Linked DNA regions of Macaca mulatta. The protein of the gene in region 1 purifies or fractionates together with the protein of each later gene. This does not show direct contact. Links are inferred from orthologs where the notes say so. Each region holds a gene or a part of one and is shown on either strand. Other genes may lie near its edges.

What was found. The genes of interacting proteins can lie anywhere in the genome.
Region 2: the proteins of SNX24 (region 1) and CSNK1A1 purify together in Homo sapiens (affinity purification with mass spectrometry; 4 studies listed by BioGRID and IntAct, counting the BioPlex papers as one, with this or other methods). This does not show direct contact. The link is inferred for Macaca mulatta from reciprocal best matches to the Homo sapiens genes SNX24 and CSNK1A1.

The regions. Positions count from the first base shown.
Region 1 is NC_133411.1:131,916,960-131,921,091, reverse strand, and holds part of SNX24 (sorting nexin-24), read right to left. Parts: intron 3,527-4,132; coding exon 3,422-3,526; intron 2,926-3,421; exon of another isoform or gene 2,756-2,925; intron 1-2,755. UniProt on the Homo sapiens protein: May be involved in several stages of intracellular trafficking.
Region 2 is NC_133411.1:158,512,575-158,517,373, forward strand, and holds the start of CSNK1A1 (casein kinase I), read right to left. Parts: upstream 3,012-4,799; 5' UTR 2,525-3,011; coding exon 2,402-2,524; intron 1,732-2,401; coding exon 1,625-1,731; intron 1-1,624.

The sequences.
Region 1 (4,132 bases):
CAGCCAAATAAATGCTAACTGTAGGCTTTTTTGCCTCTCATTTTCATTAGTTCTATTTCCTTCATTAATTTCATTTCATTGGTGACCAGCAAAAGAATAAAAAAGAGTTTTAAAAGTACAGATGCCAAAACAGGTTGGGTTTCCTTTGTTTAAAATCTCAGATAGAACAAAATTAATTTTGAAAATAGGTAATTTGACCTTTCTTGTTTTTAAGTTAGCCTCTTACTTAAATATAGCACAGAAAATGAAAGCATATGCATAGTTTTTGCTATTCAAGTTATTGATTTAAAAAATCATCTATCTACTTATCCAGGGAGTTGGGGGATGATAGTCAACTAGGCTGTAATAGTTTATGATTATAAGGTCTTTTCCTTTACCTATTAGAGTCTTATGTAAAGCTGTATGTCAAAGTTGAAAAATTTCTCCTGACTTAGAAAAATCCACAACACATGAAGAAAGGAGCCCATATTGGATGTTAGGAAACTAAAATTCCAGTCCCAACTCTTTAATATATTGCAGGAATTGGGGCAAAATTTTTTTTTTTTTTTTTTTTTTTTTGAGACAGAGTCTCGCTCTGTCGCCCAGGCTGGAGTGCAGTGGCGCGATCCTGGCTCACTGAAAGCTCCGCCTCCTGGGTTCACGCCATTCTCCTGCCTCAGCCTCCCGAGTAGCTGGGACTACAGGCGCCCGCCACCGCGCCCGGCTCATTTTTTGTATTTTTAGTAGAGACGGGGTTTCACCGTGGTCTCGATCTCCTGACCTTGTGATCCGCCCGCCTCAGCCTCCCAAAGTGCTGGGATTACAGGCGTGAGCCACCGCGCCCGGCTAGGGGCAAAATTTTTAATTCCACTGGACCTCAGTTTGTCCATGTCTAAAATAAAAGAGCAGTGTGGAATCACCTTAGGAAATGTGTGGGGTTGTACTCAACCATAGTCCAGAATGTACTAGTTGCCCCTTGGATGGCAGGAAGAGTTGTTTTCTCTGACCCTCTCAAGAGCTGATCTGCCTGTTTTATGGGTGGGAAATTGACGCCAGAGGGATGACTGTGAAATAGCTGAAGGGCTGGACTATGTAATATCTAAGTTTCCTGTGCACTTAAGATGCTATGGCTTGGAGGTATTAATACATTTTTAGGCTCATGGGCCAGATCAGGACCATACTACTGGCCCTTACCAAGATGGGTTAGTGGCAGGATGGTACCTGATGAGAAAGTGCTGGTGGCACCCACTCCCTGGGTTTCAGACTGGTCCTGAGCATGCATGGATTCTAGCTGGTGTCATGTAAGCAAGCAAAAGAAACAGTAATACTGTCTTACTTCTAAAGAGACGTGAAATGATCAAGATATGACAGCTAGGCTAGGATTTGCATTTAATTTAAGATTAATAAAGTGTTCAGGCTTATCTTTGCAACTTCCATCTAGCTCCCATTGCCTGCAAGTAGAATCAAGTGGAAAAGAAAGCTCCCTTGAACTCCTGGAGGAATTAAGTGACAACAAATTGACTATTAAATGCACAACAGGAAGCAAGGGCCCTCTGAGCCCTTCGACCACATCTTTCAAACCTTATTTCTGAGAATAGAAAATTCTAAGCTCAATTTGAGTGTCACTATAAACTCCTCTCTGTGCCAGATGATTTTATGCACATACTTACATCCGAAGTACAAACAACCTAAAATGTTTATACTGAGTAGTAATGGAAATCATGTGTCAAATACAATGAGGGGAACAGAGTAGAACTTTCTTCAGAACTAAAGTTTGAAGATATATAGCATCATGGAAAATCTGGCTTACAAATAAGAATGCATTGTTTACCTATTCCATTTAATTATAGAGAACATGCATTTTTACTCTTTGCATACAATTTTCTGAAGTCTGATTTTTTTTTTTTTGGTTTGTTTTTTGCTCTGCAGTGTTGCCTGAAGCTATGGAAGGATCATAGCTCCTCATACACAGTCTCAAAAACCATGGCCACACACATTCTTGTGATGTTAATTCCTATTTCCTTTAAGCTCTCACCCCCAGAGAGAGACAGTGAAGGATTCTTCTAACAAGTCCAAAAGCAAAAGAGCAAACAGTAAAGACAGCCCTCCTTAGATGTCCTCAGGGGCCTTCTGCATGTCAGCTTTCCTATTAGAGCACTGTAAAGACCAGGAAAACTACAAGGGCCAGGAACGGAATTCTGGCATCTTTCTACTGAGAGATAGTCCTCTGAATTTCTCACTAAGCGCAAGCCTGAGGAGTCGGCCTCCCCTCAGCTTCTCATCACCAGTGATTCAGGGACAGCCATTCATAGAGCTCTGTAGAAGAAACGGCACACTAGCTCCACAGTTCTCAGTTTCCCTCCTCAACAGAATCCACCCTAGGGTTAATGCTTAAAGGGCCATGAAGATATCAAAGGGAGAACACAGTCAGGGCTGCTCATTTGTTTGATGTAACGTGTCTTAGATGGGTCAATCATTAATTCACAGCTCTTAGGTGGGAGTCCAGCTCTTTTGTTTCAAAGAGCCAAGATTCCCCTGCCCCCAGTCATGTTCACTCCATCATTCTCATGTGTCGCTTCTCCAGTGGACTCTGGTGCCAGGGAAGAACCATATCACTGGCCCTTATCAAGATGGGTTAGTGGCAGGATGGCACCTACCGCCTCACCAAGAAGGGTTAGTGGCAGGATGGTACCGGCTGACCTCAGGGCCTGCCCACCCCAGCTCCTGCCCTGCACAGTGTTCTTTGGACTTAATGATGACTACACTGAGTACTCACCTGGGGCCGCTATTTCTTTTTGTTTTAAAACTCAGAGAAGCTGATACTGCTCTACCTTCTCCTTTTGCTTCTTCTGTCACTTGGTAGAGAGATGGTCTTTGTCCTATCTCACTTAGGCAGTTCTGCTTGCTCCTCTCAGCTGCAGAAAAGAGTGTCCCAGTGCATTCTTTCTAAATGGACATTCCAATTTTCAAAGAGGTTGGCACTTCATCATTGGCAATTTTTATACATTCCTTTTCAATTTGATTCCAAAGATATACTAGCCAGGCCCACTGTGAGTTCAGTTTCTCTCACTACCCCAATCAGCCCCACAAAACTCAAAACATAAAGGCTGGGATTGCTATAAAGAAGCAAAAAAATTCTTGGAGGAAAAGCAAAAAGCAAAAAACAAAATAATTTGTAGAGTTGAATTAAAAAACAGATCCTCTCCTCAACAGTTTTCACCTTTTTATTAAAATTTCACTTCCCCAATGAATAGAGCCAATTTTAAATAGAACCCTAATTAAAGCTACAAGAACCAACCAACAACGTATCTGTAATTTTCCTTTAATTTAGACTCTTTGCCTGCTTAATATATTTCGCATTGCACCCACATGTCCTGAGAAAAAATGGTGAGACATATGATTATTTATGTTATATAAAATGGAGGATCTAAACATATCTTACCTGTAAGTATGTTTCCAAGCCTTGTCGTCGCTGTTCCAAGACTTTGGGGACCCAGTTCCTAACATGTTTAGAAGGGATTTCTGGAGTTTTTATACATTTCTTAAGCTATAAACACAACAGAAAAAGAAAAAGAAAAAAAAATGAGATGTCTGTTAATTATAGTGACATTATTTGCAGAAAAAAAGGCCAATAAAAGAAAGTGAACTACCGCTATCTGCAATAAAAAATAGAGGAAAATATAATTACACTGCAATTTTGTCAAACGATTCTTTATTTAGGTATCTTGACTTCAGTTTTCAGAATAATGGTTTTCTGTATTGGTAGGTATTATTGTAGACATTTCAGATTGAAATCCTTTTTCCTGAAAAATTAAAAAACCTAGTAAATGAATAAAAAAGAAAGTGAAGAAATTTAGTTACAAAAATCAATTAATACAACAAAATTCTGCTTGGATGAAGGACTTTCCTGATAAAAGGTCTTTCTACATATTTTTCATATAAAGAAATCAAAACAAAATGCAACTGTATATAAGTATTATCCCTAGAAATGCCATTAACTAGACCACATTATTTGGAGAGAGAACTTAAAAACATAAAGCCCTAATCTTTTCAATGTTCCTAACAATTACTTTCCAACTCCATTCATGAAAACTGAATGATAGTTCTCAGCTAAGCCTTTTGGGACAGCAGTTTTAGGGGATAATATAAATAA
Region 2 (4,799 bases), about 27 Mb from region 1:
ACTTGGGAGGCTGAAGCAGGAGGATCACTTGAACCTGGGAGGCAGAGGCTGCAGTTAGCCAAGGTTGCACCACTGCACTCCAGCCTGGGCAACAGAGTAAGACTTCGTTTCAAAAGAAAAAAACCTGGGCACGGTTGCTCATGCCTGTAATCCCAGCACTTTGGGAGGCCGAGGCAGGTGGATCACCTGAGGTCAGGGGTTCGAGTACAGCCTGGCCAACATGGTGAAACTAAAATACAAAAATTAGCTGGGTGTGGTGGCGGGCGCCTGTAATCCCAGCTACTCAGGAGGCTGAGGCACTAGAATCGCTTGAACCCAGGAGGCAGAGGTTGCAGTGAGCCAAGATCGTGCCATTCACTGCACTCCAGCCTGATCGACAAGAGCGAAAACTCAGTCTCAAAAAAAAAAAAAAGAGTCTCCAGCAAACAGTAAACACCATTCTCACCTATTCTGAATATTTTTGCAAAAGGTATTTTAGATTGTTGCTGAAAAATAGCTTGGTTTTAAACTATATTTTAGTCTCCATTCCATGAAGAGGCTCTTTAATCCCAAAAGTTAAAACATTACTCTAAAACCCTCCAAAGTAAAGTTAACCATTTGACAGAACAATGTCTTTCTATCTCGTCATCTTTTATCCTCGTTACTGCAATTTGCACTCACCAATATTCCACACCAACAAAGGCCGCAATTTCTCTGATATTAAGATTTACTGCCAAACTCAACAGGTTAAAATTACTTATCAAAGTGTGGCTAAGTGATTAAGATTTCTTTTAATACAATTGATTTGAGTAAATTTTAACATAGTTGGTGCTGCTCAAACTGCCTTTGCCATTACCTATACAAATTTAGTCCCGACTGAAATGTGCCAAATATGACCATTCACGAAAGGAAAGCGTAATTAACACTTTTAAAAGAACCACAAAGGATTTTACATAGTATAATTCAACAATTTCATGTCACATCTGCTGCAGAGATCACAAACATTGTCACTATGCCATCTCCTTCCTCGAACCCCCACACCGCCTCCTGCAGCTTTATTCTTGGCTTTTCAAAGGTTTAATCCACTCGGGGCTGCTAAAGGAGGAATCAAGGAAGCATAATTTGTGAACCCAAGCTGAGAAAAGGGCAGGAATATGGGGTTGAGTCACGTCGTTCCGCCATTTTCTAAGCGGAGGAGGAAGACATGTTGGAACAAAAACACAACAAAAGAGCAGCCATTTCCCAAGCCAGCTCCAATAGCAACTCGAACTGACACTGCCGGGTCGCTTCAGCACCTTCAAATCCACTTCACTGGACAAACCTAAGAACATCAGACGTGCCGCCGTAAAAAAGGCAGCAGCCAACCCTTCCGCGTAGGGATCAAAGATGACCCGCACGCCTAACTGCAAACGAAAGCCTCGGGAAGAGAATGACGGAAGCGAAATGGAGCAGTGTAATACAATGAAATAAGTTGGCAAATTGAAATTTACTCAGTGATTGCGATGACTTACAGGAAGGCACCAGCTACAAGGAACCCAGGTAACTAAAACAAGACCCGGATTCAGCTGGTCTCATTACCTGCCTCTACCCACTTCCCCATTCCGTGCTTCCCTCAGCGGATCGCCTACATGCACGGGGTTCTTACCGTATGTGGGGGATGCCAACCCCACCTTGAAGAATCTTATAGAGCTTGCTCTCGTACAGCAACTGGGGATGCCTGGCCTTCTGAGATTCTAGCTTCACTGCCACTTCCTGCAGGGGAAAGAGGGGATGATGGCATCAACATCCCTACGGATTCAGTGTCATTTAGGAAAGGAGAGAGACATTAGCAAAACTCCAAGTCGCGACTACAAGGAAGAAGTGAAAAGCTGGAAAGAGAAAGCTCTCTGTAATTATAAAACGAGGCAACCAGCCTCAAAGGCCTCTTCAGGGGGTAGTGACGAAATCGTACGTCCTCTAAAGTGCAGGAAAATGATTCATCCAGAAAAAAGAAGCAACCTCTGAACGTAGTGAGAGGTTTTTAAGGAACTAGGCAATCGGAAACTGTTCTAATTGGAACAAGAGGCCCAGTAGGATTAAAAATTAAATAAAAGAAAAGCAAAGCAAAGCATGGGAATCACAGAAAGAGGATTTTGCCGTTTCCACCTTAAAAGTCGGTTAAAAAAAAAACAGCTCGACGAAGGGACATTTATGGGACGTGTTTAACAAGCTGGGAAACTAGTTCCCCCAACCTTTCTATCGGGTTCTTGACCCTTTTAGGGAGAGAGCGGGCGAGGATCGCAAGCCAGGAAAACTAGCTCCCTGGACTCCCTGGCGAGTGCGTGCGGTGAGGAAAGGCCCGAGCACTTTGGGGGTGCGCGGTGGTGGTGGGGGGAATGAGGAAAAGCGCAGCGTTATCGTGAACCCCACCCCAGGTGATTACCTCGCCGTTGGTGATGTTGATCGCCAGATAGATGTCCCCGAAGGAGCCAGACCCGATCTTCCGTACCAGTTTATATTTCCCTCCGACAATGAATTCGGCCTTAGAGCCGCTGCTACTCGCCATCCTGAGAGACGAAGATGGAGTCTGGGGCCAAGCCCCGACACCTCTGGGAAGACGACGGAGGCCTCTGGGGCTCCTACACTGGGCAAGGCTACGGAGGAAGGCGGCAGGAAACAGAACACGGAGGCCTTTACCGGCGTTCGGGGCCCAGAATCAGCCGAGCGGAACCTGATCACCGCCGCTCGGTCAGGTTTCTTTTTGCCAGGCCGCAGTTTGTGAAGGGCTTCTCGCGGTTACCAGGCTGGGCCACTTGTTTCTCGGCGGCCGCCGCTGCCTCGCTTGCGCGGCGACGTCGCGGGCTGGAAAAGGGGCGCGGTGAGCTAGGGCGGCGATACAGCTACCACCACTGCCGCCGGCTCCGGCCCTGAGGGACCCCTGTCACTCCGCCGACGCCGCCATCTTGTTACTCCAGCTCCAGCCAACACAAAATGCCCCCAGTCCCCGGGAGCCGCTTCTTCACGGCGCAGAGCACTCTGGGAAAGGGATCTGGGGCGCTCGCTCCGAAGGATCGGCAGCGAGAGGGCGGAACCGGATCCGTGAGAGTCGCGGCCCACGCTCCGAGCGTCACCCTGTCACCGCCCAGTAGCGCATGAGCGCTGCAACTCCTGCTGACTGCGCAGGCGTGCCGCGGCCTGCCTCACCCCGCCCCGGGCTTTCTTCCACTTCCGGTCGGCGGCGGCTCAGCTGGTGTTACCTGTTACTCGCCTCGGACCCGCAGGGTCTCTGGAAGGCTGAGTGGCCCCAGGCCTCGATGTTGGGAGGAGTCACCTTCATGTTTCGTGTCAGGCCTCCTTAGGAGTTGGGTATTGACCTTTGCTCTTTGAGGCGGTTTTTAACCTTTGATCTTTCTTCTGGCCGCTCCCCAGGACCGGCCTATTCCAACCCAGTTTCTGTTTGGAAAGAGGCTATCGCCTCTGGTGGAGAGGAAGAGAAAAGCAGCCCGCGTTGAGGAATCGTTCAGGGCTCTCGGTTATAGCAAAACCTAGCTAATTACCCTTCATAATTAGAATTTTCTTCTCTACTACGGAGTGTTATAGACCCTCTTTCCACAGGAGGGGAAAAAAGAAAGAAGCCGGAATCCCCCTGCCGTCCTACGTCTTTGCATTATTGCCTCACTACCACTTTTGATCTTCAGAAGAAAACCCAGTATCTTGTTCATAGTGAAGATTAGGGATAGATGGAATCAACAGAAAATTAATTTAACAAGAGTGAAAAAACTGTTATGCCCCCCAACCCCACCAAAACAACAACAAAGAATCGTATGTTGGTCATGTTGAAAACCGCAGTATTAACCTGAACAGAGTAGAGGTAACTATTACAAAATTTAATTGACAACATTTAAAGCTACACGGAAATTTTTTTCTTTTTTACTAAAAATCGATCAGAGAATCAAATCTTGACCACATTTTGTATTACAAAATTTGACCTGGGAAAATTGGGTTGAGTAATAGTAATGTTCACAAAAGAAAGCTCCATGGTTTATGCTATCATCTTAAGTCAGACCTCAGTCGTAAACATTTAAGCTAAGCCTATCCTAAATAAAATTTAATTAAAATAGAAATGAGGGCCGGGCGCAGTGGCTCACGCCTGTAATCCCACCACTTTGGGAGGCCGGGGCGGGCAGATGACTTGAGGTCAGTTGTTCGAGACCAGCCTGGCCAACATGGCGAAACCCCGTATCTACTAAAAATACAAAAATTAGCTGGGTGTGATGACGTACACTTGTAACCCCAGCTACTCGGAAGCGGAGGTTGCGGTGAGACTAGATCACGCTACTGCACTCCAGCCTGGGCAACAGAGAGACCCTCTCTCAAAAAAATAATTAATTAAATAGAAATGAGAGAAAAATGTGAAGAATTTTAACTGCACCTTTGAAAGGTGATCAAGTAATTAAGGTTAGTAATAGGGTTCATCTCGGAAGATAACTGAAGAGAGAGGGGAAGAGACTTCCCCTAAAGTTTAGCATGAAGTTTTAAGGCACAACCAACACCCAGGGTGCCCAACTCCCAAATCACCACTATTAGACATCGTTCGCCTTTGGTGACTCTAAAGCATGTTTTGACTAAGTTAAAATCTGCTGTTAAATTCTGGTCTAAAACGCAGCCGGGTGCAGTGGCTCACACCTGTAATCCCAGCACTTTGGGAGGCCAGAGGCGAGTGGATCACCTGAGGTCAGGAGTTCGAGACCATTCTGGCCAACATGGTGAAACCCCGTCTCTACTAAAAAATACAAAAACTAGCTGCGCATGGTAGCGTCTGCCTGTAGTCCCAGCTACTC